2 linked regions of the Notamacropus eugenii genome follow. The protein of the gene in region 1 purifies or fractionates together with the protein of each later gene. This does not show direct contact. Links are inferred from orthologs where the notes say so. Each region holds a gene or a part of one and is shown in the gene's direction. Other genes may lie near its edges. The genes, in order: MYO1E and OSTF1.

Region 1 (15,453 bases):
GCCCAGTATAGCATAACCAGGTCAAAGAAAGCACTGTGCTCTGCACAGATTCAGAGAATCCACTCCAAACGTTCTCATGCACTATTTGTGCTTAACTTAACTATTTGTAGAGCATTCTGAGCTCTTGTTGGTCTGATCGACCACAATTGGACACACTGTAACTTGACTCTAACTTAGTGAGGTTTTTTGGTCCTCTTTGAGAATGAAGATCAACAGTCAACCAACCATATGACATGGGCACTCTCTAGCTTATCAATGTTTTTCTCAAATTGTGGTATTCAGAGCTGACCACAATATTCCAGATGAGGTTTGAGAAGGACAGAGTTTGTTGAATTATTGCCTTCCTGGAAGCATTGCCTCTCATAATGCTACACGATATTGCTCTACATTTTTTGACTTCCACATCATACCACCGATGCACACTAAGCTTGCAGTCTGCTAAAAGCCCCAGATCTTTTACAAAATCGTTGCTTCCTAATCAACCCCAAGACTATCTTGCACTTGTGAAGATGATTTCTTTATGCCCAAGAGAAACACTTTATGTTTATCCCTATTGGATTTAATTTTCTTAGATTCAGATGCCCTAGTTTAAAATCGTTTTCAATCAGGATTCTGCCATCCAGTGTGTTAGCAATGGACGAATGAAAAACCATTTATTAAATGTTTACTACATGCTAATCCAACAGAGGTCGCAACCAGGGGTAAAAAGGGTAGGCAACATGGTTTACATGTAGTAGCAAATCATGAAGATTATAGGAGTGCATTATGGTACCTGGACATTGAACTTTTATCAGTTAAGAGCACAAGGTGAGTCAGTGTGATGATGACTAGAGTGGACTCTGGTGGATCCAGGGGTTATCTAGTGGTCACATCCTTCAAAGTTCTTATCATTTTCACCCAACAACCACTTCTTCCCCATTAGTGCAAATCAGATCCAGAATAGAATTTCTTCTTGTTTGCTCCTCAGTCTTTTGAAGAATGAATTTATCACTAATACAAGTTAAGAAATAATTATCTCCTTTGCTTTGGGTAGAGTAAGAGTTCTAGCAAACGTCTGGACAATATCATGCCTCTGTGATGGGACTGTAACCTCTTTCCCAAAGTCCCCATCTATTTCCTCCTTCTGTCCAGGTGATCTATAGTTTGACAAAGTTATTTTTGTTTCTCCTTCCAGTTTTCTTTTTCTCTTTCTTGTTTTATCCCAGTTTCAACCTAGTGTTTATGTGGAATATAAGCGTATCATTTTCTCAAAGTAAATAAAAACTAAAATAGAGGATCACTAAAAGTATAAATGTTTCATTTAAGCAGTGTCATTGTGAAATGAAATATTCTATATAACTGAATTTGCTACATAAATAAACTTGAATCACTTAAATACCTGAACTTTTAAAATTTTGAAAGATTGCTCCAAATCACTATTATATATAATGAAAAATAAATCAAAGCAAATTTGAGGTTTCATCTTATTTCCAGCAAATTACTATAGATGATAAAAATTGGGAATAGTCAGTATTGATAAGTCTGTGAAAATCTAAATTTCCAAGTATTGCACAAGTACCTAGAAGCACAAGTATTGTTGGTGGAGCTTTGAATTGATCCAATCATTCTGGAAAGTAATTTGGATTGTGCTAAGAAAGTGACCTTTTGACCTAGAGATCCTACTCTTAGGACTATTCCCCCAAGGAGGAAAGAGTTAAAAAGACAAGGGGCCATGCACACCAGAATATTTATTGCAGCATTTTTTGCAGTAGCAAAGAAGTAGAAACAAGATAGATTCCTATTACTTGGAGAATACTCCCCCCCCCCCAAAAAAACACACACACACACACACACACACACACACACACACACACACAAAACTATGGTATGGAATATGGTAGATCAGTTCATATAAATAATATGAAGAATTCAGGAAGGTAAGGTAAGAAGTAAATGAACTGATACAAAGTGAACTAAGCAGAAGCAGGGGAAAAAACGTACACAAAGACTACGACAACAAAAGCAAAGAATAACAACAAGAAGATCAAAAGTGAATGTATTGTAATTATAATGACTAAATATGACCCTGAAGAAGAGATGAAAGAAAGAAAGAAAGAAGGAAGGAAAGAAAGAGAAGGAAGGAAAAGGAAGAAAGGAAGGAAAAAAGAAGGAAAGAAGGAAGAAGGAAAGAAGGAGGGAGGAAAGCGAAAGAAAGGAAAAAAGGAAGGAAAGAAAGAAAGAAGGAAGGAAAAAGAAGGAAAGAAAGAAAAAGAAAACACATTTGTAGAAAAATATTTCTAGAGGTTTTTACTGTGATGGCAAAGAATTGGAAACTGAAGGAATACCCATCGATTATGAAATGGCTGACCAAGTTATGCTACATGAATGTAATGGAATATTATTGTGTTGTAAGAAATGAGAAAAGGGATGGTTTCAGGGAAATCTGGGGAGACAAATGAACTGATACAAAGCGAAGTGAGCAGACCAGAACAACTGACACAATAACAACAATACTGTTAAGTCTTAGGAATTCTGATCAATATAATGACTAACTGCAATTCCCTTTTCTCACTCTCTCTCTTGCCTTGGCTTTTGGGGCGGTATCCTCTTCTGGTTTTCTTCCTACGACCCTAACTATTCTCTTTCTTTTGTGCTGGCTCCACTTCTTCCATTTCTCTCCTAAAAGTGAGCATTACCCAAATTCAGACCTCAGCTTTCTGTTTTTCTCTCTCTGCACTCTGACCATTGAAGATATCATTTCTCTCCATTGCTTTAACTCTACAGATCACTTCCAAACCTATATTTCTAGTCCTGACTTCCCTGCTGAACTCCAGTTCTGTATTTCCAACAATTTACTGGATATTTTTGCACAGATATCCTAACATTACATCAAACTCATCAAGGCCAAAACAGAATTCCTCACATTTTCTCCAAAGTCATTTTCCTCTCCTGACTTCCTGCTTTTGTTAATTGTAATTACCATTACTGGGAGGTAGTAGAGTCAGAAGCAGGATAGATTAAAAACCTCACATTACCAAGTCTTGGTAGTATTTCTCCCAAACATGTCTTTGATCAATTTTGTTTTACATTCACTTGTACCAGCCTAATTTTGGTCCTCATCATTTCATGCCTGAAATACTGTAAGTCTTTAGAATTGATTTACATTCTCCTCCTTCATTCCACCTATCCTGCCCATCATAACCAGAGTAACCTTGGTAACAAAAGACCAAGATTTGGAACTGGAAATGAACTTAAGAGTCCAATCCCCTTCTTTCATAGATTTGGAAACTAAGATCCTAAGAGGCTAAGTGACTTGCCAAAGGTCATACAGACAGTAAATAGTAGAAACATGATTTAAATCTAGGTCCTCCCATTTCAAATAAGGCATCCTCCAAATACTATTTTGATCATGTCATTTATCTATACAAATACCTTCAATTGTTTCTTATCATCCTTTAATGAGAGCCCAGTCTCTTTAACCTGACAATACTGATTCAATCTACATATCCAATATTAATATTCATCACACTTGTACACAAACCTTACACTCTAAAAAAAAAATTACAATAATCTATTTTCTCTTCTCTTATCTCCTTTTCCTGTTGGAAAAAAAGAAAAAGAAAACCATTATAATAAGCATGCTTGGTCAAACAAAACAAATTTCTTCGTTGTTCATAAAAAGCCTTTACTCCAGATAAACTAAAATGTCACTGTCCCCAGAACATCTTTTATGCTTTTTTTGCTCCACGTTTTTTGTTCCCATTTTTACTCCACTGCCTCTTCTCCATGTTGGTTGCTATCTTCTCATCCTATCCAAATTCAGCTTGATCCCTGAAGTTATAAATCAAATTCTACTTTTCCTCTGACTTCCCTTCACTCAAGGAAAAAAATGAGTGCTTCCTCCTCTCAACTCTTATAGCATTTAATTGACAAATGCAGCTTGACATATTAGATATATTTAGCTTTTGTTAAATATCTTATTCCTATACATCCTGTCTCCTCAATTAGACTGTAGCATCCTCAAGATGGGGACCATATCATATGCTTCTCTGTATTTCCCATGCTGCTTTATGACATGCTATTTTGTGGACACCTGTGCAACACATGAGGGAACCCATAAATTCTCATTCTCACTATATGATGGGCCTGATTTGTTTCCTCATCGTATTCCTTTCTTACATATCCTTTATGTGGTTTATCCTATGTCAACTCTTTGTTAGTAATATATGTCAGGGGCAGCTAGGTGGCGCTGTAGATAGAGTGCTAGGTCTGGAGTTAGGAAGTTTCTTCCTCCTGAGTTCAAATCTGACTGCACTTACTAGCTGTATGACCTTGAGCAAGTTGCTTAACCCTGTTTGCCTCAGTTTCCTCATCTGTAAAATGAGCTAGAGAAGGAAACGCCAAACCACTCCAGTATCTTCTCAAAAAACCCCTAATAGGGTCATGAAGAGTTGGCATGACTGAAATGACAGTAATAACAATGTATTGCAGTCTAATTATGGTCACCATGTTCCTCTCCATTGTCCTTTGGATGACCCAGAGTACAATTTGAAATTGGTATGTGGCATTGGGAAGAAGAAGGTTCTCATTTTGGAGGTCTTCAAGCTAAAGCTGGATGACCATTTATTAAAAAATAATAACAGCAGCTTACATTTTTAGAGCACTTTAAGCTTTGTGAAGCATTCCATGTATGTTATTTCATTTGACTGCTTGGCTCTATTTTAGAGGGGAATCTTTTTCAAACATAGATTGAATTAGATTGACACAAAGGCCCGTTCCAACACTGAAATTATATGATTATAACCCTTAACTTTAATCCTGTGGAGACCATGGTATTCCCTGACTCACAACCACATAACATTATTGGAAAAATACATCAATCTGTTGCCAAGTCCTGTTGACTACCTTTGAAACATCTCTCCACTACCCTGTTGAAGATCCTCATCACCTCACATTTAGCCAGTAGATATGCCAGTCTCAAGTCTCTCCCCTGTCCAGTCCATCTTTTTCCATTCAAAAGAGATCTTCCCAAGTTCAGGTCTATACATGTCACTCTCCTATTCAATCAACTCCATTGTCTCCCCATTATTACCGGGATCAAACATAAAATCATTTGTTTGGCTTGAAACTTGGTTATAACTTGGCTCCTTCCTACATTTTTCATCTTCTTTCACCTCACTCCCCTTCACATATGTTATGATTCAGTGACTTTGACCTCCTTACCTGGAATTTTCTCCTTTCTTGTCTCAACTTCCTGGCTTCCTTTAACAACTAAAATCCTACCTTCTACAAAACCTTTCCTACCCATTCACCTATCCAATCATTTGTCGATTATCTCCAATTCATCCATAAATAATATATCATTTGTACATGGCTGTTTACATGTCATCTCCCCCATTAGATTATGAGCTCCTTAAAAACAAGGATTGTTTTTGTCTTGCATTGTATCCCAAAGTTTAGTACAGTATCTGGCACATAGTAGGTGCTTGTGGACTTGACAGTACTAATATCCAAGTATCCAAGATGGATTATAGCCTTAGCCTTGGGTAAAAGTACAAGTCTGTCCTCCTGTATGACAAGGACCCTGAAACTGGAATTAATGCTGCTTCCTTCACATATGAAGAATCAGAATCACTGAAACTCAAGTAGGAAGAGATGTCAGAGAGCATCTAATTCAACTTGTACTTAAGCAGGAATCCTCTCTGCAACATTCTTGGTAAATGGTTATTCAGTTTCTGTTTGAATACTTTTTTCTATTACCTCTCAAAGCAGTTCATAAAATTTAAAGTGGCAAGATGACCAGGTCCAACACCCTCAATTTACAGAGGAGGAAACTGAGGCCAAAGTAGTAAAGTGACTTACCCAGTGGAAAGAGCACTGGCTTTAGAATCAAAGCATCTAGCTTTAAAACCTTCCTCTGGCATTATTATCTTTGTGACTGGGAAAGTCATGAATCTTCCTGAGCCTCAGTTTATCTATAAAATGAGAGGGTTGGACTGAAGCCTCTTCCAGCTCTAGATATATAATCTTCCCTCCCTCTCCATATAGCTAGTAAGTAGTAAAGACAGGATTCCACTTTTGTCCAAGAGCTGTCCAGATCTAGATGCTAAGTTTTTCCTTACAATGAATCAAAAATCTGCCTCTCTGTATTATAACAGTTGATTGAAGCAAATGAATACTCAGGGCATTCAACTTGTTTAGAGATGCCAGCCCCAACCTCAGCCATGGTGTCCCCTCCAAAAAGCACTAATTAAACACCCATGTGCCAGGTGAAGATACAAAAACAAAAATGAAATAGCTTCTTCCCTCAAGGAAGGTACACTCCATGGGGGCAAGAGGATGTACACATACATACACAGACACATACGCATATACCTAACAACTAAAGCCAAAATAGATGCAAAGTCATTTCAGGGGGGAGACACTGTATATTACCGTTTGTGAGATTATTTCCAGCTTTAGAAAGTGAGACTGTAGCTCCAAATGAGCTAAGATTCAGAGATACACTAGAGATTTTATCTTTCACAGGGAAGATAAGATTGGGTAAAGTAGGATTCAATCTGGGTAATAAGGAATTGTGGTTGTTCAGTCATATCTCACTCTTTGTGTCCTCATTTGCAATTTTCCTGACAAAGATACTGGAGTGTTCTCACTTCCTTCTCCAGCTCATTTTGCAGATGAGGAAACCAAGGCAAACAGTTAAGTGACTTGCCCAGGGTCACACCACTAATAAGTGTTTGAGGCCAGATTTGACCTCAGGAAGAAGTCTTCCTGACTCCATCCCTGGAGCTCTATCCACTGCACCACCTACCTTTCTAAATAATCCATCACTAGTACTTTATGACAATCAGATTTTCAATAAAGGCTGGGGGGGGAGGGGAAAGGTGATGAGCACCATTTTGATTTCCCTTATAATCCTAGACCTGAGAAAGAAAACGGATTTCCTCTGGGCTTCTGCCATGACTCTGATCTTCTTTGCTGATAAAATATTTTTCTTCTTTTTCATTGTTCTGGACAAGACTGCTTCTCTAACCTGGGAGATACACAGCTCACCCTTTCATGCTGAAAGAAGTTTGAAGTTTTTCCTTTATTTTATTATTTTTTGTTGAGCTCTTTTTCTCTTCTAAAAGTACCAAGTCTTTAAACTAGGAGATTAGGTCAACAAAGTTCTTTTGAAGCTGAAGGGGAGGAGAAAGGAAGGGCCGGAGGACTACAGGATCCAGAAACCTTTGGAAGGCCTAGCTGCTCCATGCTTGTTGGCTGCTGGAGTTTCCCTGAGGAATGACGCTATGAAAATAAACCCTGATTCGTCAGGGCCGAACTGAATTCTCCATTTAAGGACAGATTGCCGGGCCTCAGCAGAGGCTTAGCCTGGGGAGTACATAGTGGGAGAGTAAAGAAGAGGAGGAGCCAGGCTGGCGGTGGAGCGCCCCTGCCGGGACTGCCCCTAGCCAGCACTTAGCCAGCACTTCTAGTCCGGCGGCCGGAGGAAGCTCTAGTAGATTTCTTGACTTCTCACCGAGCTGTTCATCTCTACACAGGATGAACAGGGTCTGCTAAGGGAGACGCCCCCCCCCCCCCCCCCAACCTGCCCTGCCGATCCTGCTTGGATGGAGTCTCCCCACTGCTCCCATTGGTTTCTTTGAGTATCTGAGGTTTGGGGAGGATTCTTCTTTTTTTTCGGCCGAAAGGAGCCAACTTTTGAAGTTCGAGAAGGAAATTACATTTCAGACCCTCCGCTCCCCCTGCAATCGGATCGAGGTGGAGGAGCGACGGCCACCGAAATCACCATGGTGAGTTGGCCGGGGCTTGGAGCTGCCGGCGGCGCCGGGGTGAGCAGGGGACCCGGGAGCTGGGGCAAGCTGTCCGGAAGGCAAGCCCACCTTGCCGGGCCACTTACTCGCCGGTCCTAGAAAACCCACCTCGGCCGCTTATCCATCAGTCCTGGGAAAGGTTGGGAGAGAAGAGGTAGGGGTCCCTACTCCTTCCTTCCACCTTTTTCAACAGGTTTCCGGCACGAAGAGGAAGCAAAAAGTGCCTTAAGTAACTTCTCGGTCTCCAAACTTGTCTGTGTGTTGTGTTGTGCTGCTTTGTGTGTTTGAGTGTGAGCCTGGCCGTCGGCATCTGGCCGCTGCCGTTGAGTTGAGCGAAGGAGAACAAGCCACATGTATTTTCCGGGGGGTCCCGCGGGCACGGCCCCTCTCTCGGTGCGTGAGTCCCCTTTCTTCCTGCTCGCGGGTGGGGAGAGCCCGCACTGTGCAGCTGCGCTCTTTCCTCTCGGGCCACCTCTGCCTAAGGCGACGGAGCCGCCTCACCTCAGCCCACCCTTCCGGACCCCTAGCCGGGGTCCTTAGCGCCGGCCGCCGGGGAGCGGGGCTGCGTCTTCCCGGAGACTGCTCTCTCATACGGAGCCCTGATTCTTGTACGATCGGGATCAAGTAGGGCTTCGCGGTCCCGGCTGGCACTTGCAAGGTGGTGTGGGAATACCAGTCTGGAGAGTGTTTTTGGTCGGCCTGTCCTGGAGAAAAGAGAAGAAGGGAGGGAGAGAGGGAGCGGGGACAGCGCCACCGCCACCGCCGTAGCCACAGCCACGAAGGGAGGAGAAGGAAGGGAAGGTCCAGGTAAAGATACCTGAAGAGATCGGCTGATGGATGGGCCGGGCCGGACTGGGCTGGTTGCGCCGAGCGAAAGTGACAGTCTGGCAGACTCAGAAATCCTGTGGGCTTAGGGGAACTGAGACTGGCCAGATCTGTACTCGGAAGCACAAAAATAGCTGTTAGTATGTCCCAAAGGACCGCCTCGCCGCCCGCTTCCCCACCACTGCCAGGTGGCCGTGCCTCAGTGTGCAGAGATGACCGCGAAAGTTCTGAAGGCACTGCCCTCCTGCGCAAATTTGCGAGTCCTTTTCCGAGTCTGTGGAAGTAGCCCACTCTCCTCTCCCCACCCATAAAGATAGCACACCACCGCGCCTTAGTCAGACTTCTCTTGGGTCTTTTCCCTTCCTTAAAAGTCCCAGCACCACCAAAAGAAGAGCGTGGAATATTTAGGGGAGGGGGGGATAAAAAAATTTAAAAATTGGAAAAGCTACAGAAAAGACTTGCGAAAAGATTGGAAGACTGGAGAATTTGTACTAAAGACTTTGTAATTTGGGTATTTGCCTTACTGAAAATAAGCTTGGGAAGGTTGGATGAGAGAGAGAGAGTTGATACTTCTGTGTGATCTTAACGATTGGAGAAATGGGGAGAGGTTAAAAATGATACCTGGTAGAGTAGAATATTAGTTAAAATGTATATATTCTAACAAAGGGCAGGCAAGTGAAAAGATGGCCCATCAGGGCCTATACTTGCTTTTTATCTCCTGCTGTCTTGGAAATTGTGTTTACAAAGATTGATTTTTGTCTTTGGGAGAACCTCTCTGGTCTGAAGGGAACACTCCAGAACCCATTACCAATAGATAGTGAAACGTAGCATCATATTTGTCCCTACAGAAAAAAACATAAAACACACATCAATTTTCCTTTCAACTGTCAGGGTTCAAGAAGTTAGCTAACCCTAATTTACTTTGGAAACTAGCTTATATAAGTGGAGGATGTGTTTGGGATTTGTGCTTCCTGGTTAGAAGTGGAATTAGGATAAATGATAGTCCTGGTATTGAGGAATTTCTGAAATTGGTTTCTACAGTTCAGTCTAAAAACTTGGGCAATAAGATTGTGACAAAACAAATATTCTCATAACGTTTCAATAGTGGAACAAAATCTTGAGGGAAAATCCAAAATGTTGGATGCTTATTTAATGTTCTAAGAGATATCTCTTTGTAGCATATTCTGAGTGCCTGCAAAACCAATATACATTGTTGGATAGGTTGGGAGGATCCATAAACACTTGCAAAGGAAGGATATTACAGAAGAAAAAATGATGTTTAAAAATGATGTTTCTGAAATTGTGTAAACTATTCGTTTTAAGTCTTTCATTGTTTAGCAAGCACATAGCAGCAGCAGGTAGGAGTATGACTTACCTATTAGTGGGCATTTTGCCATGGACACAGATGGGCATGTCTGTGGGCAGCCAAAAGACTATCTGTGTATCAGATATGGTTGTTGAGGCCAAGGTTCCCTGTCAGAAAAGTTGAAACAGCTGGCTGCCCTGAAATAGGAGATGGGCCATCACTAAATCAACAATAATCTAGACTAATTTGCAAAAATAAAATGGATTTTTTTTCTATTGCCATGAAGAAGTGAGTGTGCTCATTTTTATAAAATGTCAAGCTGTGGACATTTGTTATTAAAGGTTGTGAGACTTTGTTCTAATAAAAAATATGATGTTTTGTTTACATTGGATCCCATGCCAACTTGGGCACTGTACATGGATTATGTCATCTGATGCTAAAACCTCAAAATGCACCTTTGTTCAGCCATGCACAGCTGCACCCCACTGTAATTTAGGGCAGGAAGGGAAGAAGAATTCAGTGGAAGTGGTTGAAAGTTAGGATGTAGACTGTAATTGGTATAACTTCTGCCAGGATCTAGGGATAACACCGGAGGGGGCCAATTTTTTTTTTAAGTTACATCTTTCAGGAAATATAGTTAGACCTTAGTCTTACAATTAATCAGAAAGAAACCCCACCTGTGCTGAAATCCTGACCAAGACTGATTCATCCCTGACTCATAGGGAAGATGGCCATTTTCAGACTCATGAGAATAAAAGACTTAATTTTTGTTGTCTCCTTCTTGATTTTCTGGCTTTTCAAAATTTGACATATGAGTATTTGATGACAAAAACCTTTATCTTTATGTGGGTAAATTAGAATGTAGAACTAAAGATATCTGTAATTCCATAAGAGCATAAATTCTCTAGAAGAGTTTAAAAATCTCATTTGGCTTTACCTAGTGGCCATTTAAATCCAGGATTCTTTCTACTATGTGTAAATTTCCTTGGAGAGACTATGTGGTATAGTGGATGGTAGGGTATATCAGACCCAGAATTGGAAAGCCTGTGTGACTGTGGGTGAGTCATTTGACTTTTCTGAGTTTCAGTTTTCTCATGTGTAAAATGGAGGGGAGGGAATTATACCTACACCCCCCATCTCATTGTTGTCATGAAATTCAAATGAAAATTATGCATTATAAATATTAGCTATTCCAGAATTGGTTTTTGGTTTGATGTTGTTCTGTTGTTTTTTACCGTTGCCACCAACAATACTAACATTTCTTTGACCTTAACCAATTACCAGTGCCTATGGACATAGGTATACCATCCTTTGGGTTCCCAGAAATGGCACAATCTGATATTTCTCTTTGTTCTCAGGGCTTCAGTAAATTAAATACATTTAAATCTTTGGGGTCCAGATCTTTTGGCTGAATTTCTATAACCAGAGCATTCCTATAGTATGCTAAAAAATCTTACAGAACATGTAAAAGATAACCAATGCTACCTTGTGATTTACAGGCAAGACTCCAATTTTTGTTCCAAAAAGCCTTTTGTAAATTAGTTGTTTGTAACTCAGAATATAGTTTCCAGTGTTCTAAATGGTAGATAGGTTTTTGTGAGGTGATCTAAGAACCTATTTAACACATACTGCTGTGCTGATAATACCCAAATGAAGCATTCGTAAGTTGAGGACTGTCTATTCTAAATAGAGAGATATAAATCCTTCTTTTCTGGAGATTTTTTATTTATCTCTCAGCCAGTGGTACAGGTTGTGGGTTTTGTTGATTGATGGTAAGCCAACTGGAAATCCACATAGCCTTCTACTCATTTTAGAAAGAATTCTTGAATGAGATACAGTTGAAACTTTGACAGGGTTTTAAGGAAGGGAAAGAATAAGTAGTTTGGCCAATTATAGATTAGGAACCCATTAATTATGGGTAGAAGTACAGAGGGACTGTAGTAGGAAAAGCGGGATAGAATCCATCATTAACTAGAGTGAAGAAAGCAGAGAGAGTTCATAACATCCAATGAAGAAAGAAAATTTTAATTTCTACCCATGTCCATAAACATATACTATAAAATGCTTAAAAGAAAAAGACAGAACCCTAAAGAGACATATATAGGGAAGTACCTAGTTCCCCTTCTGATCTCAGCCGTGCGTTAGTGAGGGGAGACAGAAAAATCAGAATAGGTTTGCATGAGACCTTATAAGGCTTTCAAACATAGGATCAGGGAAGCACTTCCCTTGGTGGAGTCTTCTTGGGGTTGGCATGGGTGACAGCTTTTTGTAATTGACCTGAAGTTTTGTTACAGGCTGTAATATTTAAATAACACACCTCCGAGGCAGTGATCAAATCAAAGTGGAGTAGAAATCTAAGACTATGGGCGAAACAGGATGTGGAGGAAACTGTACAAGGAACTTAGCCACTAGGTGGAAATGGCTTTGATTTTGAGCTATTATCTTTAAAAATATCCTGTGATGAAGAATAAAGCTACTAGAATATTTCATTATTATATGCCTGATAGTGATTTTATCTGTCTGTTAGGTGACTTTCTAATAATATATTTATAAAATGCTGGGGCAGCTAGGTGGTGCAGTGGATAGAGCACCAGTGCAGGAGTCAGGAGGGCCTGAGTTCAAATCTTACCTCAGACACTTGACACTCACTAGCTGTGTGACCTTGGGCAAGTCACTTAACCCCAATTGCCTCATCCTGGGCCATCTCCAGTCATCCTGATGAATATCTGGTCCCTGGATCCAGATGGCTCTGGAGGGGAAGTGAGGTTGGTGACCTGCACAGCCCTCCCTCACTCAAAACAAAGTCAAGTCATATCATTTCTCTGATAGCATGGTCTTCTTCGGCAACAAAGGATGAACACACATTTATAGAATGCTAGAACTGGAAGCTATCTTGGAGATCACCTAATACAGTCAACTCAATTTACAGTTGGAAAAAAAAAAAACAAAGCCCAACATGGGGAAATGACTCAGCCAAGGTCACAGTTGGTGGCAGAGAGTCAGCACTAGAAACCAGGTTTCCTTTTTTTAAATAATTAATTTTTAGTTTTCAACATTCACTTGCATATTTTGAGTTCTAAATTTTCTCCCCTTCCTTTTCTTTCCCCCTCCCCAAGATGACACGCAATCTGATATAGACTGTACTTATACATTCATATCAAGAATATTTTCATATTAGTCATGATGTAAAGAATTATAACTAATGGGAGGAACTGCAAGAAAGAAGAAAACAAAACAACAAAAGAGAAGGAGAGCAAATGGTCTGCTTCCATCTGCATTCAGACTCCATCGTCTTTGTCTGGATGTGGACAGCATTTTTCATCATGAGTCTTCTGGAGTTGTCTTAGATCCTTGCACTGCTGAGAAGAGCTAAGTCTATCAGTCAGTTATTGCAGTGTGGCTGTTACAGTGTTCTGGTTCTGCTCATTTCACTCAGCATCAGTTCATAGAAGAAATCAGGTTTCTTGACTTCCAATTTATCTATCTTGCTATTATATCCCACTGTACCCTCCCTATGCAGAGTCATGGATCTAGAGTTTAATTCAATAAACATTTATGTAATTGCCTACTATGTGCCAGGACCTGTGTTTTAGCAGTGGGGATTCAAAAAGAGACAAAAGATAGCCCCTGCTTTGAAGAAGCCTTATAATCAAATGAGGAAAATAACATACATACAAACAAATATATACAGACCAAGCTATATACAGCATAGATCGGAAATAATTAACAGAGGGAAGGCCCTGGAATTGAGGGGTTGGAGAAGGCTTCCTGTCGAAGGTGGAGTTTTAGTTGGAACTTAAAGGAAGCCAGAGAGGTCAGTAGTTGGAATAGAAAAGGGAGAGCTTTCCAGGAATAGGGGAAACTTGCTGGAGAGAATGCCCAGAGCCAAGAGATGGAGTGTTTTCTTCAAGGAACAACCAGGAAGCTGTCACTGGAATACATGTTGGGGAGTAACATATAAGCAGGACAGCAAGATAGTGCAGTGGATAGTGTGTCAAGCCTGAAGTCAGAAAAACTCATTTTAATGAGTTCAAAACTGGCCCCAGAAACTTATTAGCTGTGTGACTCTGGGCAAATCACTTTAACCCTGTTTACCTCAGTTTCCTCATCTGTAAAATGAGCTGGGGAAGGAAATGACAAACCACTGCTGTATCTTTGCCAAGAAAACCCCAAATTGGGATCATGAAGAGTCAGATAAGACAGAAATGACTCAACTACAACTACAGACAAGGTTTAAGAAGACTCAAAATGTAGGACAAGGCTAGGCTATGAAGGGCTTTGAATACCAAACCCAGCATTTTGAATTTTTACCTGGGGGCAATGGGAAGCCATTGAAGTTCATTCATGACTATGAACCAGAAGGGAACTCTAGGGCTATTTAGTCCTACTCCCCTCCTCTGTTTTGCAAAACTGAGACTCAGGGAAGTTAAATGACTCCCCCAAATCTTAAGTGTAGTGTTAGAAGGATTTAAACCCAAATTCCCTGACTTTAGAGCTAGAGTTCTTTACACTACAATTATACTACTCCCGTGTTGAGCAGATAGTTTCTTAATGTAGTATGATTTGAAAGGAGGGAGGGTGCTGAAGTTTCCTTTGGTAAAAAGGTATCATCTCTAGAAGGCCACGGAAAAATTTCCTGAAAATTATAAGCCATGTAGATGTCACTTTAATGTTTACAAAAGTGCTTTACTCACAGCAGCCTTTTGAGGTCGGTAGTATGCATATATTTTCCCTATTTTATGGATGAGGTGACTTCTCTCAGCCTCATTTTGAGGGACTTGTCCATGGCCACACAATGCCAGAGCCAAAATTCAAAGATTTCCTTTTTTAAAGTCTAGCACTTTTCACATCACATGCTGCATTGGGAAGGGTAACATTTAAGAATCTCTGATTATCATTCAGGTGACTTGGATTCTACTTCTGGCTATGATTCCAACTCCTTCTCTGTCTCTCTCCCTGTCTATCTCTTTCTGTGTTTCTCTGTTTCTCTCCCCTCCCCTCCTCCCCGTTCTCTCCCTTGTGCCCCAGGATGTGGTAAAAGTTGACTAGCTTTATATTTATTCTGAGCCTATATACTTCCCAAACAATATGAGTCTGTATCTTATTTGATGCTATCCAGATGGCTGGTGGAATAATGGGTTATTATGAAGGACAGAATTTATCCTGTTTCTTATCCTTGATTGCTGTGTTCATTTTTAAGTCACACTTGCACAGTTCACAAAATCCTGGAATCTGAGTTTAAAGGAACCTCAGAAGTCATCTAGTCCAATTCCATGTGATGTCTGAATCACCTGTGTAACATCCCTGACAAATGCAGCATTACTTGACAACCAACCTCTTTGCTTGGCATCTGTAGTGGGGGAACTCTACTTTATTAAGGCAGCCCATTCCGTTTCCTGACAAGTCCAGTTGTTAGGTTTTCAGTCATGTCTGATTCTTAATTACCTAAAGTTTTCTTGGCAAAGATACTGAAGCGGTTTGTCATTTCCTTCCCCAGCTCTTTTTACAGATGAGAAAACTGAGGTGAAC
Region 2 (15,484 bases), on another chromosome or scaffold:
GTGTGAATGGAGAGAGGGGAACATAAATGAGAGATGCTATCACAGTAGAAATGACATGACTTGGCAAAAGATTGGATAGAGTGAGCAGGAAAGAGAAGCCAAAGATGGCAGAGGCTGTGAGCCAGAGGGAAATTCAGAAGGGTTTTGAAGGAGATAATGAGTTGTGTTTTAGATGTGTTGCACTGTCCCATTTTATGTACCCCATGAACTCCATCTCCAGACTTAGTGTCTCTGTATAAGCTGTCCGCAGGGCCTGGAATATGTTCCCTCCTCAGCTCCACCTCTTCCAAAACCTTAGCTTCACTTACGTGTTAATTTGGGGGCCACCTCCAAAGGAAAGCCTTTTCTGCTACCCCATAGGTGGAAGTGCCTTCTCATTTTTCAAGTTATTTTGTTTTTGCTCATCTGGGTTGTATCCCTTGGAGACAGGAGATACTTTGTTTTATTGTTGTAGCCTGGTATACTGGCAAGGCTTTGCACTGTAAGGAGGTATTTCATAGATACTTATTGAATTGGAGTCAGCTAGTAACTGCAAGTGTATATATACATATATAAAATTTTTATTATTTGTAATTTGCTTGTTTATTCTGTATTACATTCTATATAAATTCTGCATATACGTATAGTACTGGCCAAACCCTTGCCTCATAGATATACAGTGATAGAGATATATACTGATTTGAGGGGAGCAGGGATGGTCTGTATACCACTGCCTATAGTCACACAGACATTTCTTTAGGTTAAATGTTACCATCTCTTTCTACAGTTTTTTTTTTAAGTTCAGATTTCCTTTGAAGGAATGATGGTGAGTACATTCACATTTTAGTGGTATAATTCATTTTCAAGAGGCTCTGACAGAAGGAGCAGCTGCGAGATCACCAGGCAGGGAGAAGTCCTCAAAGAAGACAAAAAGGAGAGAGGGGCTAAAGACGAATTTCACCTACATCGCAATTTCCACCTAAGGTTTATTGCGAAAGTTTAAGAAAAGGCTTCTTAGACTGTCAGTCTGGAAACAGAGTTTCAATTAGAGATATGAAATCCGATGGAATATTAAGAAGCTAGTTTTTCTTTAGTATTTTGAAACATTCAGAAATCTTTATGCCAGCCTATCTGAAGTTCTGAGTCTTAAATCCTATTTTCAGGGACTCCTCAAAGAGTTGTTCTATGATATGTGCCCATTATACATAATTATATGTTTATTAATTTATTCATGTATATACAAGAACAAATAATCATATGCACCCATGGATACATTCATAAATACTCACACAAGACTCTACAAGACTCTAAAGTGAACTAAATTTAGTTCTGAAAAAATTTTAACACTCCTTGAAGATACCCAGTGAAGACACTGGGGAAATAAACCATTCACTGTTCTCTCTTCCTGGGAAGCAAAGACTTAATCTGGCTAATTGGTGTATCATAAGGTTCTTAAATACTTTTGATGAAAATGGATTTCTAATTAGGAATATCCCCAAACACTTCTTGAAGGCATTGCTTAGTGTTAAGAGCCAGGTAGAATCAGGATGGAGGAGAGATCCTTTTGAGAGAGCAAGAGTGAAATAGATATGTATTTACATGTATTAAATAATATTTCGGTAGAAAGAACAAAAAAAAGTTAAATGAGCTATTCTCTTACTATGTCCTGAAGGCATCTAACTGCCCCAAATGAATTCAAAATTAGCTGTACTAAATTTTAGCACCTGTGAGTGTTGACATACCTTGTATACAGCTGAGAGGCAGAAGAACTGATGGTGATCTTGGAGGAGTCAGAGAACAGAATCTAGTAACTGCCAATATATTCTTGTACTGATTTTTGTTAGTTGTATTTTTCTTGTATATTCAGTCTATATGTATAGTAGTGTCTAGACCCATACCTCATAGGTAGATAATGTGCTCTGATTTGAGGGGAGCAGGGATGGTTTTTTACTGTCCAAATATCTCCCTTAATCTATCTATCATCACACAATTACAGACCGGTATTATGGTATTGGAAAAAGGCCAATGTCCCACTTTTAGGAATGGGTAAAAGTCAGTCAATGTTAATTAAGCAGCTACTACGTACCAGGCACCTTGCTAAGTAGTGGAAATACAAAAAAGGGTGAAAAATAGTCCCTATTCTCAAGGAGATCCCAGTGTAATGAATGACACAAGAAGCAAAGAATTAACTACAAACTATAGACAGGATACCACCAGCTAATGTCCTTAGTGATGAGTCCCAGCAAAATTTGAGAAAAAAATATTAAATGTTAAATAATTAAATATTAAATTGTGAACACAGGAGGAAGCTCTTGTGTAGTGGAAAGACCCTTGGATTTGGAGTGAAAGGACCGGGGTTTGAATTTTGGCATTGTCATTATTTCCTAGCTGGTTAGTTAATTTCTCCATATTGTGTACATACACACACACACACACACACACACACACACACACACACACACACACACACACAGACACTAGGTAACCTTAGGCACTAGCAGTTGTGACCAGCAAAGACATCCTGAGCAAGGTGGTACTTGAGCTGGGTCCTAAAGTAAATTAGGGATTCCAAGACGTGGAGGTGGAGATGGAGAACATTCTGGGGACAGAGGACAGTCAATGACAAGAAATGGAAATGAGAGATGTACTGCTGTCTGTGAAATGCAGCAAGAAATTCAGTACGGCTGGACCTCAGAGTGCATGGAGAGGAGTTGTGAAATAATGCAGGATGTGGCCAGGCAATGAAAACCTTTAAATCCTCTTTGAGGATTTAGCTTCATATACTATTAGGATAAGGAAGTGGTGATGACTTCAAGGTGGTATGGGTTTTCTCTCTTTCCAAACTTCTTATATTTTTCTCCCCTTTACAGACTTTATATCCAGCTGTTGTTTCTAGTTGTGTCTGATTCTTCTTGACCCCATTTGGCATTTTCTTGGCAGAATTACTGAAGCAGTTTGCCATTTTCTTCTTCAGCTCATTTTACACACGAGGAAACTGAGGTAAACAGGGTTAAGTGACTTGCCCAGGGTCACATAGCTAGGAAATGTCTGAGACCAGATTTGAACTCAGGAAGATGAATCTTCCTGATTCCCAGGCCCAGCATTCTATCCACCGTACCACCTAGCTGTGACGTTATTTTATAAGGTTACACTGGCCTAATCACTGTTTCACTCACCAACACTCCATCTCCCAACAATGCCTTTGCATCTGTTGCCCCACCATCTAGAATGTCCTCTTTCCTCACTTCTACCTCTTAGTTCTCCTGGCTTCCTTCAAGACCTAGTTCAAATGCCATCTTATGCCTGAAGCATTTTCCAGTGTTCCCAGCTGCTAGTGCCTTCTACTCTGAGATTACCTTCTTTCAACTTGGTATGCAAGTAGTTATTTTTACATGGAAACTATTGTCTTCTTGAAGACAGGGCCAGTTTTTGTATTTCTTTGTATCCCAGGTGCTTAGTATAATGCTGAGCACATAGTAAGCACTAAGTAAATGTTGACTGTCAAAATAACCTTATTTCATTTCTTTTTAACAAAGTTATAAGACTTGCTTCGATATTTTGATGGATTGATGACTGGATGGATCTTTTCACTGTGGGTGCTCCCTTCATTGAAGTAGATCCCAGCCCCTACACAGCTTCTCATCCTGGATGACTCTTATCCATGTCCTCCCAAAAATTCTCCACAAGGAGACATATCAAAGGCCTTCCTCTTGGTCTCTTGATGCTGCACAGATACCAATGGCGCAGTAGTTAGTTACTGTCCTCACCATGTATACCTTCTTTTTCAGTCACGTATATCTCTGATGGCAGCAATGGAGGTACCTTGCGATCTATTTACACTCAGCATGGGCCTCCTCATAGCCTTCTGGGTGACCTGCAGTTTGAATTTTCAGAGACTATATGTGGTATTCCATGACTTGTAGTCACATTGTACCATCAGAAAAATATTGGGGTATTAGCTCACATCTATCAGAAATTACAAATGCTGGAGGAGATGAGGGAAAAATAGGTACGCTAATGGAAGTGCTGGTGGAATAATAAGGTGGTCCAACCATTCTGGACAACAATTTGGAACTATGTCCAAATGGCTATAAAATTGTCCATTTTCTTTGACCCAATAATACCACTCCTGGGCCTGTATTCCAACGAGAAGAAAAAAAGGAAAAGGAACTATATGTACAAAAATATTTATGGTAGTTCCTTTGGTGGTAGTAAAGAATTGGAAATGGAGGGGATGCCCATCAATTGGGGAATTGCTGAACAAGTCGTGTCATATGACTACGATAATATAATTATGCTATAAGAAATGATGAGGAAGATGATTTCAGAAAGACATGGGAAGAACTATATGAACAGATGAAAAGTGAAGTGGGATGAAGTTGGAGATCACTGGGCACAATAACACCAATGTAGTAATGATGATCAGCTGTGAAAGACTTGGTACTCTGACCAATACAATGTTAAAAGATAATTCCAAAGGACTTATGATGAAAAAATGCCATCCGCTTCTAGAGAGACAACCAATGAACTATGAGTACAAATTGAAGTATAACTTTCTCCGCTTATTTTTCTTGCTTTTTTTTTTTTAAAAAAAATAGGGCTAACATAGAAATATGTTTTACATGACTTCACATGTATAATTGATATGATATTACTTACCTTCTTAGTGGATGTGGGAGGATATGAGCAGGAGAAAATTTGGAACTCAGAATTTAAAAAGAAATACAATTAAAATGTTAAAAAAAGGAAGGAGAGACAAGGGATGATAGTGGGGATGGATGGATCTAGTGACAGTTTTTTGATAATAGGGTAATATGAACATGTATATAAGCAGGCAGTAAACAGGCAGAGAATGAAGACAAATGAGGCAATTGGTATGATAGAGGAAGCAATCTGCTACAGAAGATGGGATGAAATGGGATCACTTGCACACCTAAAATTAGCCTTGCCAAGCGGAAGGGACACCTCTTCATATGAGACAGGAGTGAAGGAAGAGATAGTGGCAGAAAGCATCGAGGTGATATGGCATGAAGAGAAAAAAAGTGAGCTTTCAGCAAATATTTTTTAGAAAAATTTTTCGGTGAAAGATAAGTGAAGGCTTTCAGCTGAAAGAGTGGGGGATGATGGAACCTTGGGAGGTTGGAAAAGGTTTAGAAAATAAGTTGTGGTGAGTATCTCATATTCTTTATATTTTTCACATCCCCTAGCACAATATCTTAAAAATAGATGGCACTGAAAAAATACCTTTTCATGCTTCATTCTTCAGTATATCAAAGAGAGTTCAACCTCTCATGAGTGATTCCACGGTTTTATTACTGTAATAATCAATTTGTTTCTTCCCTATGTCTAATCACAATCTTCGTCATTTTCCTGTAAGTCAATTTCCACTTGTTTTGTCTTCCAAAGATGTGGAAAATACCTGCTTAGCCTTCCTATGTTGAAAAAACAAAGCAAAACCCCATGCTTCTATCACAGCCACATCTTAGCTTTGCCCTTCTCTAGACTAAAACAATACCAATTGTTTTAAACTGTACTGTTAAGACCTATTTGCCATTCTAATTATCCTTGTTACTATTATTATGTCCTGCTTCAGTTTCTCCACATCCCATTTGAAGTATATTTATAAAAAGTTTATAAGGTTGTTCTAAACTCAGCATATAGTGAAAGCATGATTCTAGTTGGCATTTTTCACAACAGCAGGCCACTGCTCACTCATACTCAATTTGCGGTAAAATTTAACCTCAGCCCTCTACTTGCCACAGGTCCACTCTCCCTCCCCCCATTTTTTGCCTGTTTGGTCATTCCCCGTCCTCTGTTTGCATGGGTGTCACAGGATATCTTTAATATATTTTCAATTCATGCAAAGTACAACTGTATTAATATTCATATTGGATGATTATTTGTTAATTTAATAAAAAATAATATTGGAGTAAAAATAACAGGCTTTTTTTTTTCTGAGAGAAGTTCAGGGTCATCAAAGGCACTACACAATTTTTCCAAAGGTAATCTACCATATTTCCTTCCCTCTACTCAGTTCTAGGCCTGGCTCATTAACAAATCCCAGTTTTTGGCCAAGGTATATGTAATGATGAGGGGCAGCTAGGGGTGCAGTGGAAAGAGCACCAGTGCAGGAGTCAGGAGGACCTAAGTCTTACCTCATACACTTGACACTCAGTAGTTGTGTGACCATGGGCAAGTCACTTAACCCCAATTGCCTCATCCTGGGTCATCTCCAGTCATCCTGCTGAATATCTGGTCACTGGTTTCAGATGGCTCTGGAGGAGAAGTGAGGTTGATGACCTGCATAGCCTTCCCTCACTCAAAACAAAGTCAAGTGCAAGTCATGTCATCATCTCTCTGAAGGCATGGTCTTCTTTGGCAACGAAAGACTAACACACACAATGTAACGATGAGGGAGGTGGGATCTCCAGTTCTCCTGTATCTTGTATCTGTATCTTGCCACTGGATCCAGATGGCTTTGGAAGAGAAAGTGAGGCTGGTGATCTTGCACAGCCCTCACTCACTTAAACCCTATTCACTTGCAAGTTACGGCATCACCTTCCTAATGTCATGGTCCTCTTCAAGAATGAAGCAGACAACAACAATGGAACAACAATGTAACAATGATGGATCAGCAATATGGACTGGCCATCTAACTAGATGACTTCTACCGAACAACAGGTGTGCTTCATCCACTTTTTTTAACTGTAAACCCAAGCTTCAGAAGGGATTATGGATCTTGTTGGGGTGGGGGAGGAGCACTGCAAAATGCTGCAAGGCTTGATGCACTCAGCAGAATGTTACCTGCAAATGGGTGACTTTGAGAAGACTTCTTCATCTGTAGGGCACGGCTTTTTTCATTGGGACACTGTACTACATGATACTGGCAAATACCTTGGGTGAGAATGTCTGCCTCTTTTCTGACCTGCTTGATATTAATCTGATTTAGTGCTTCTGTTGTTAGGTGTTTCAAGGAATTTTGTACAAACTGTATTTATGTATACAAGAGCTTCACTGGAGCAGTTTTCAAAGTGAAATTTTGCTTTTTTCTCCCCTCTATTTGTCAAATAACAAGCACATTGGGATCTTTTATTTTCCATGGTATATTCAGTCAAATGTGACTGTACAGATGCAGTTTGCTGTAGAATTTGGAAAAGCCTGTAACCTCCTCATACCTTCAACAAGGATGTTTCCAGTTCATCTGAAGATTATATTCATGAAAATTTTGTAGAGACAGGAAAGAAAGCATACCAGTTAGTAGTTACCGATAGTCTACATTTTGGGAGGTAATAATAATATAATGGAAAGGAGACTGACTCTGGAGTCAGAGGACTTGGGGGAAAATTGTACCTCTGATGCTCATTACTTAAGTGACCTTGGGCAAGTCAGTTTCCTCCTACTCAAAATCAAAAGGCTGGACCAAATTGCCTCTAAGTTACTTTCAGTTCTAAATTTATGAGCCTTAGACGTTTAAAAGTCACAGAAGCAATCTAGTCCAACTCATAGTTGAAAAGTAAACCTCTCCACAACAGAAACACACTATATATATATATATATAATATAAAACCAGTTGCTGGAAGGGGTCCAGCGAGGAGCTTATAAGCTTATTAGCAACAGAACCAGCCCAACTCCTAGGTAGCTTATATTATTAGGAAGTTTCCCCCACCCCTACCATCAGGTCTTACATAAGAAGGCCAGGTAATCATTTATTTTACAGAGGGGGTGGTGGTGACAGAAGAAGAGAACCTTGATCTCGTTTGTTTGGGAAGAAACCACGCCATGTGGAAATTCCCTCCACCAATGAAGTGGCTGGTCATTGTAGGTAATTTGCACTTCGCAGAGTTGCTTAGTCACCAAGAGGCTGAAAGACTTGCCCACGAGGTGTAAAAGACAGGACTCGAACCCAGGTCTTTCTGCCTCCTCTATTCCCCACGTCAGGCGGCAGCTCTCCTGGTGGAATGTTCATGGTGACAACAACCTTCTCCTCGAAAAAGTGCGACCTGAGGCACCCCTAAAAGGGGGAGGCGCGGTGGCCAAGCGAGCACCTGGGTGAAGACCCCGCAGGCGCAGCGCCGCACCGATCAGGTACTCACCTGGCAGGTAGTCCCGGGCGGGCACCACTTCGCCACCGGTCCCCCAGAGCGTACGAGCAGCTTTCAGGGCAGACCGTCAGCGCGGGTGATCAGCTCAGACCCTCGACACCAAAGCCGGGGGGCTCCGGCACTTTCCCGGGGCGGCCGCGAGGCACGCAGGCCGCAGGCAGCGCGCAGTCCAGTCCCGTCGGCTGACCCTCCGCTCCGGCTCCGGCCTGGGGGCGGGGCCCCAGCTCGGGTTCCGCGCCCGCTCAGAGGTGGGGCGCGCCGCCCGTGCCCGCGCTCGCCCGCGCGCTCCCTCCCGGGCCCGTTCCGTCCCGCCTGGGCTCGGCTTGGGGCTGGGCTGCCTCCGCCGCCTCTGCCGCCGCCGCCGCTTCCGCATCCCTGCTGCGTGCATGAGCCGCTGCAGCCGCTGGAGCACTCGGGGCCCGCGAGCCAATTAGCGTTTGCTGAGGTAGCCTTCACTTCCTCGTTGAGCGAGCGCTCGGGACGCTGAGCACCGCTTGGAGGAAGCCCCCCTTCCAGTCTTCTTCCCCTTCGAGGAGGGGTGGGCTGGGCAGGAGAGAGCGGCCGAGGAGCCGGACTCAGACTTGTACTTGGTCTTCTCCCTCCCCGGCCTTTCGGATTCGCCGCCCCGGCTGGAGAGATGTCCAAGCCGCCCCCTAAGCCCGTCAAGCCAGGTAAGGGAGGGGCTCCACCCGGGTGCCAGGCTGCCCTGCTTCCCTGCGCTGCCGCCGAGCCCTCTTCTCTTTACAGAGCGAACCAGTTTGGAGGGTGATCGATGACTTTTAAGTTCAAGAAATGACAGGATTGTTTTTGATGACAAGAGTTTTGAGATCTGGGGGTGAGCGCACGCACTGGCAGCTCTGCAGCGTTCCTGGGGGGATGTCTGTAACATAAAGTCAATCGCTTGATTATACCTTTAAAAAAATTCTCCAAACGACTTTTAAAGATACTTCCCTTTTTTTGGGGGGGGGGGGGGGAGTTGTATCCTTGTCAAGAGTCAAGACGGACCCAAAAGTGGGAAGTGCATGGGTGGGTGGGGTGAGGTGAGGTAAGTATATGAAGTCCTGCGGGACGTCTCCGGAAGGAAGAGCAAATGCACTCCATTGATCTCGGCTTCATTTTTGGAAAGCCTGTAGTCAGCTCCAGCGGCCTAATGCTTCAGGGCCGGAAGGATTCCGGCAGCCCTGGCCATTGCGGCTCCAAGCTGTCACTTTTATACATACGCCATCAAGGCTTCGGGGTGAATATGGGCGGCGGGGGCGAGGGGGAAGCGGAGCCTGCCCTCCCGAGTGGAGAGAAGCCTCCGAAAGCACCCTGGCAGATAGTCCTTATTCATTAGTAAACTTTTATCCTCTCTACCGAAGGGTTCTGTGCGCTTGGGAGAGAGGAAGGAAAGGGACAGCTGATTTCTGAATCCAGTGTGTTTCAGTAGGATACTGATGAATGATGGAGTAAGTCGGAATTCCGAAATCGGGGGATTTGCTGAACTTTAATAAAAGCATCTTCAAAGTTCAGAATACATGTTTTCTATTGTTGTTCAGGAATGTCAAGGATTTGGTTTTATTCTGTACATCCTTCGTTATTGTATTTTTTCCCTAAATTTATAGTGTTTTCAAACATAGTATAATTTTCCTCCTTTAAAAAAATGGGAAATAAGAGTACCGTAAATCCCTTTTATTTGAAAAAAAAAAATTACTACCCTTGTGATGTTATTGGTGAATGCCAGTACTCCCAGTAAGGAGATTCCGTTGACCAGTGTATTGGCAGTTTCTCTGAAATTTTTAGTCTCTGTCACTGAGAGGTTGAATGATTTGCCCAGGGTCACACAGTATGTCTGTGACAAATGAACCATTGTCTTGGAGCCCCTTCCCCTGCTAAGCTGCTAAGCCAGGCTGCTCTCTTCTCAAAATTATTGGTTGCTTTTTTTTTTTTTTGCAAGTTTCTTGAGATTTAAATTTGCATAGACCCTACTAAATCTTAACCCTGTGCTTCCTGGTGTATGGAGGCCTTGCAGGCTATGTATATGTCCTATTATGGTCTACCATGTTGGAAATGCTTTGCATGTGATTTTGGCAACGGATTCTGAGTCAGGTTGTTGTCCCAGGATCAGCCTACTTCAGACACAGGCTCAGCACCAGATAATGATATTTTTTTGGGCATGGCAACTCCCAAGCAGCATCCACATAGGCAGTGGGGGGACTGAGGCATCAGAGGGGTGATGACACTGATGAATTCCTAAAACTGTGAAGTAGTTCTTGATAGGAAAGCCATACCAAAAGAAGAGTGATCGTAGACTTTATTATTTTGACCAAAGACTGGGTGTGAATAATAACATTTTTATGTTTTGATTTCAAGTTTTCTGTTTTCTGAAAATGCTTTCAAAGCATTTGCTCATGACAATCCTGTAAGCTAGGGTAGAACAAGTACTATTATAATTATACCCATTTTATGGATGAATTAACTCTGGTTGAATCGGTTTGGTGACTTGCTCGGGGTCATATATATGGTGTCATGACTCCCAGTTCCCCCATCTTTTCAATTATCCCACATTATCTCTTAAGAGTGAAACAGTGGGACTTGAAAGTGTTTTAGACAAGAGATCAAATTTTGCCATTGGATATTTGATTTTTATTTGCCAGGAGAAAGCAACTTATCAAATGAAAATAATGTCTTATTCTTTGGCACTCAATTATTTAAAAAAAAAAAAAGTCCTGGAAATCGATCAAATGGTCTTCTGGATCTAGAGACAGTTTAAGTAATGTCTGTGATGATGTCTGTTCCTTCTCTATGAGTCAGAAAAAAAAAGGCTGTTGCATTTTTTTTTTCAAATTTGCTTAATGGATTATTATCATGGTACAGGATCTATCAGTCACTTAGCCTCTTTTTCTATGAAAGATTAGGAATCTCTAGTTCTTAAACTTGAGTCATTGTACTCATTCACATGGACACTATTTGTCTACTACCATTAAGCCCCACTAACATGGATCACTATTTCATTGTCTTGCTTTCTGTTCCCAGTGCTACTGGACTATTGCAATAGACTCCTAAATGGTCTGCCTCGTTTGCTGTGCTCTCTAATCCCTCTTTCACACTTACTAAAGTTAGTGTCTTAAAGCACAACTCGGATCATTTTGTTATACCCCTGTTTAAAAGTATCAAGTAACTCCTTCATACACTTTTACAGTTAGACAGTTCATGCACCTTGGGTGCTACGTTTTTGACTGACGCCAAGTTTTGCAGGAGGAATCCTTTTATCAAGGGGGTTTGTTCTGTGAAGTTTGGATTCAGTCAAAGGATCACACTTGAGGATGTAAGGGCCACATGTGGCCTTGAGACTGCAGGTTCCTCACCCCTAAAGATATATGTCTCAAACTTTGGAGCTTAGCTTTGAGGCCCTTTATGTTTTTTCCCTAACTCTACGGTACAACACTTCCCCCCTGCTTTTCTCTGCATCTCTTGTTTTATAATACTTCTGCCTTTGCTCTTGCTTTCGTATCTCTCTACCTTGAATTCTCAGATCATGAATTCTCCTCCCCCCCCAGTCTCTTTGCTTTCTGAAATTTTATTCTTCAAGACCTTGCTCAAATGTCAAGTAGACTGTAAGCTCCTTGGGGGCAGGGACTATATTTCTTTTTACTTTTTTTTGTATGACTGGTGTTTAGCTTAGTATCTGTAAGCCATTTATAAATGTTCTAAGTGGTGCAGTGGCCTGGGTAGAGTAGTGCAGGGCCTGGAGTTAGGAAGACTTATATTCCTGAGTCCAAATCTGGCCTCAGACACTTACTAGCTATGTGATCCTGGGTGAGTCACTTCACCCTGTTTGCCTCAGTTTCCTCATCTGTAAAGTGATTTGGCGAAGGAAATGGCAAACCACTATTTTTGCCAAGAAAACCCCAAATGGGGTCATGGAGAGTCAGACATCACTGAAAAACAATGAAAAATGCTTATTCCCTCTTGTCCCCCATCTCTACCCCTTCCTCCCTTCCTTTCTTCCTTCCTACTCTTCTGTGGAGAAGAACCAGCTTTGTAGCTAGGTTAAGTCTGAGTTAAGTCTAGTCTCTCATTTATACACTTGTGACCCTGAGCAAGTCACTTAATCTTTTTATGCCTCTTGCAACTTTCTAAGACTATAACTTGCAGAGACCATACCTCCCTACTTCTGGTCTAGAGAATTACCTCAGTCAATAAAATCACAGCCTCAGTTCCCATCCCTAGCCTTGTGCATTGTTTCTGCCTTTATCACATTCTGACTTAGAGTTGTTTGTGTTCATTTCTCATCTTCCCTTCTAACTTTTAAAATCCTGCAGAGCCAAGAGTGAGGTAATACTTATATTTGTCACCACCACATCCATTCCTTAGCACAGCCCCCCTGCATAGTGCCTTTTTTTGTGGTAGGCCTTCAATCTGTGCTTGTTAAATTGAATATATCCCAGACCCAAACCAGAAGTCTGTGTCTTCCCTGTCCCCTCCTCCCCATTTATGTAAAAATACTCTGTAAAAATACTTCTATACCACCAGTTTTACTATTTTTAGGTCCTTTTGTATTCTGAAGGCTGGATAAGAATAAGTGAATTTGTTTAGCATGTCAGAGCATAGCAGACAAAGGTTTGCTATCCAAGAAGACTCTTTTTACAAACTTCATCTCAATATTTAGTGTAAAGAATGGGAGTTAGAAGTAATAGAAGAAATTATATCAGGAGCTGAATTTTGTAAGAAATTTCCCATTTAATCAAGTTGAACAGAGATAAAATTTGTAAAATTTTTAGTTGTCAGCCACAAGCCTGGCTGGTCACCGACCTGCACTGTTTTTTTTCCTAATGGCATATTGACTTTATGGATGAAAGCAAAGCATCATAAGTATTCCATGTTCTTGGTTATTATTTAGTACTAAAGATGTGTCATACAGAAAATTAAATTGAAATTAAATCAGAAAAAAACTAAAATTGTGTTTTAAAAATCATTCTAGCATTCATGATTAGATCATGAAAACTAAAGAATTCTGCTTAAATTACATTTTTGGTGGAAAAAAGTCAGCTACAATAGAGTCAGTGATGCTACATTGGAAAGATCTCTGGATTTGAAGAGTAGAAACTGTAGAGTTTCTGGGTTCTGTTTGTTCATTCCTGCCTGTATGACCTTGGGCAAGTCACTTTGAGCTTCATTTCCTCATTTGTAAAACAAAGTTGTTGGAATAGATCACCTCTAAGGTTCCTTCCAATTCTAGATCTATCATCCTATGTATTAGTTACCCCTGGGAGTTATTATTTTTGGTGTTGTCATTTTAGCTGTATACTAATCTCTTGTAGCAGAAGCATGAATAGTGGATAGGTTGACACATACAAGTTGTATGTCCTTGCACAAGTCATTTTATTTCACAGTTCTCTAGGCAACTCTCTTAAGTTATAAATTACAGACTGTTGGATCTACTTTGGTTGAGCAAATTTCCATACCACAGATTTCTTGGCCCCTGGTGAAATCTTAGGTTAGATTAGGAAAAAAAACACACCAAAAAAACTATACCCTGAATCAGATTTTCTGTCAGATCCAAATCATGGGCAACTTAAATCTAAAATGTGTGTATCTTATTTACATCAAAAAGCAGTAATTGTTCTCTTAAAAGAAATTTTAGAATCCTTAGTTACTCTGGTGCATGAGCCATCTTTGTCCACTCACTTTCCATGGCTGTCACTTTCTATTTGCTCTTTGGTATCCTTATTTCTCTTTCTTATGGATTCATTCATTAGATATTAAATTTCTTGGAAACTGAGTTTTGTTCCAACCCTTTGTAAAGGCACAACATATAGTATAATATTTGTGAAAGATGAAACCTCGGAAAGTGCTCTTAACTGATGGACAAAACGTTGGGTAAGGGAGGGGTTGGGTAACTGATCTAACTTCGTTGTATGCAAAGGTGGCCAAAGAGATACTTCCTGTCTGTTTCAATTGATGGTAACCCTAGCCACTACAATCTGTCCCTCCTATTGCAGCAACAACCTCTATTCTTTTTCAATCCTGGGCATTTATTAAGTGCTTACTGTGTGCTCAACTTTGTTAAGCATTAGGGTTACAAAGAAAGGCAAAAACAGCCCCTGACCCCTCAAGAAGCTTTTACAATCTAATGATTTGACTTAGATGTGATTAGTAGAACTACAGGTAATACTTGTCTTGTACCCCAACTGGAACAGGCATTTCCTGCTCAGGATTGACAGGAGTCTTTTCTTGTGTGTAGAATGAGAGGAAGACAAAATTATATACACTCGAGTGTGTGTACACACACACACACACATATCCATACACATATGTACTCATACACACTTATCAGTGGGTTAAGAATTAACTGTAAGTTACAGATTCTTTCTTTAGGTTAATTTAACCACAAGTCAAGATTCATTACTATGGGAACTCCTTCATGCCTTGGTTAATAAATTCATTGTCATGAATGCCATGGTTTCTGTGGCTAAAAAACATTAATCACTTGGTTACCAACTTCCTGGTGACAAACCTCTCCCAATTTCATTATGCTGATCTGAAGGCAGATAAATCCATTATCTTTAACTTTCCATCTTGGGCAGGACCCACCAGCCAGACCTTAAGCTCTCCTTGCCCAGCGTATAAGAACCCAGGGTCTACCTCTGTGCCTTTAGACGTGACATTTCATTAGAAATTGGTGGTGGATTAATGTCAATGAGAAATTAATTAGATACTTTGGGGGAGGGTTTGAAATAGGTAAAGTTCTTTGTTTTAGATCAAAATATCATGTTATAGATAAAATGTAAATATGGTAGTATGCATAATATAACAAGGGATGTTTAGTGTGGATTGATGATTTTTTTAAAAAGCAATTTTGAAAAGCCTCTATTTTATTTCCACTCAACCTTATTGGAAACTCACTATACAAAAGTAGGAAATCTAGCTTTTGCCATCTGAGAGCTTCCAATTTGACTAATTCTTAGTAATTTGTTTCAAGGTGAACAATTTCAAGGATGGTTTGATCACTTTCAGAATCTGTGCATGTGTCTTTTAAATGATTTTTTTTCTTTATCCCCCCAAGAGAGAGACACTATAATGATGGACCCAGTTACTGTAAATATGAAAGTAAGTATATTATGAGTAGCTATGTTTAGTTAGCATCAGTGGTGCTTAGCTCCATTCATAGTCAGGACCTTTGTATTCATAAATAGAAAAGTGAGCTAGAGAAATTGATCAATAAGCAATTTTCCAAGCATTTATTAAACCCCATGAATGTAGTGGGCATTATTCAAGACAAAACAAAAAAATCTGTGCTCTCAAACAACTTATGTGCTAGCCAAGGAAACAACACACACACCTAGAAGTAGATACAGAATCTATGGAGAGAAAATCATGCACCATCTATAACAGTTTATGTGGAACTGGATGTTTTCATG

Evidence for each region.
Region 2: the proteins of MYO1E (region 1) and OSTF1 purify together in Homo sapiens (co-immunoprecipitation; 3 studies listed by BioGRID and IntAct, counting the BioPlex papers as one, with this or other methods). This does not show direct contact. The link is inferred for Notamacropus eugenii from reciprocal best matches to the Homo sapiens genes MYO1E and OSTF1.

Annotation. Positions count from the first base shown.
Region 1 is NC_092872.1:136,920,638-136,936,090, forward strand, and holds the start of MYO1E (unconventional myosin-Ie), read left to right. Parts: upstream 1-7,328; 5' UTR 7,329-7,769; coding exon 7,770-7,772; intron 7,773-8,816; exon of another isoform or gene 8,817-15,453. UniProt on the Homo sapiens protein: Actin-based motor molecule with ATPase activity. Unconventional myosins serve in intracellular movements. Their highly divergent tails bind to membranous compartments, which are then moved relative to actin filaments.
Region 2 is NC_092874.1:374,991,972-375,007,455, forward strand, and holds the start of OSTF1 (osteoclast-stimulating factor 1), read left to right. Parts: upstream 1-8,287; 5' UTR 8,288-8,718; coding exon 8,719-8,752; intron 8,753-15,484.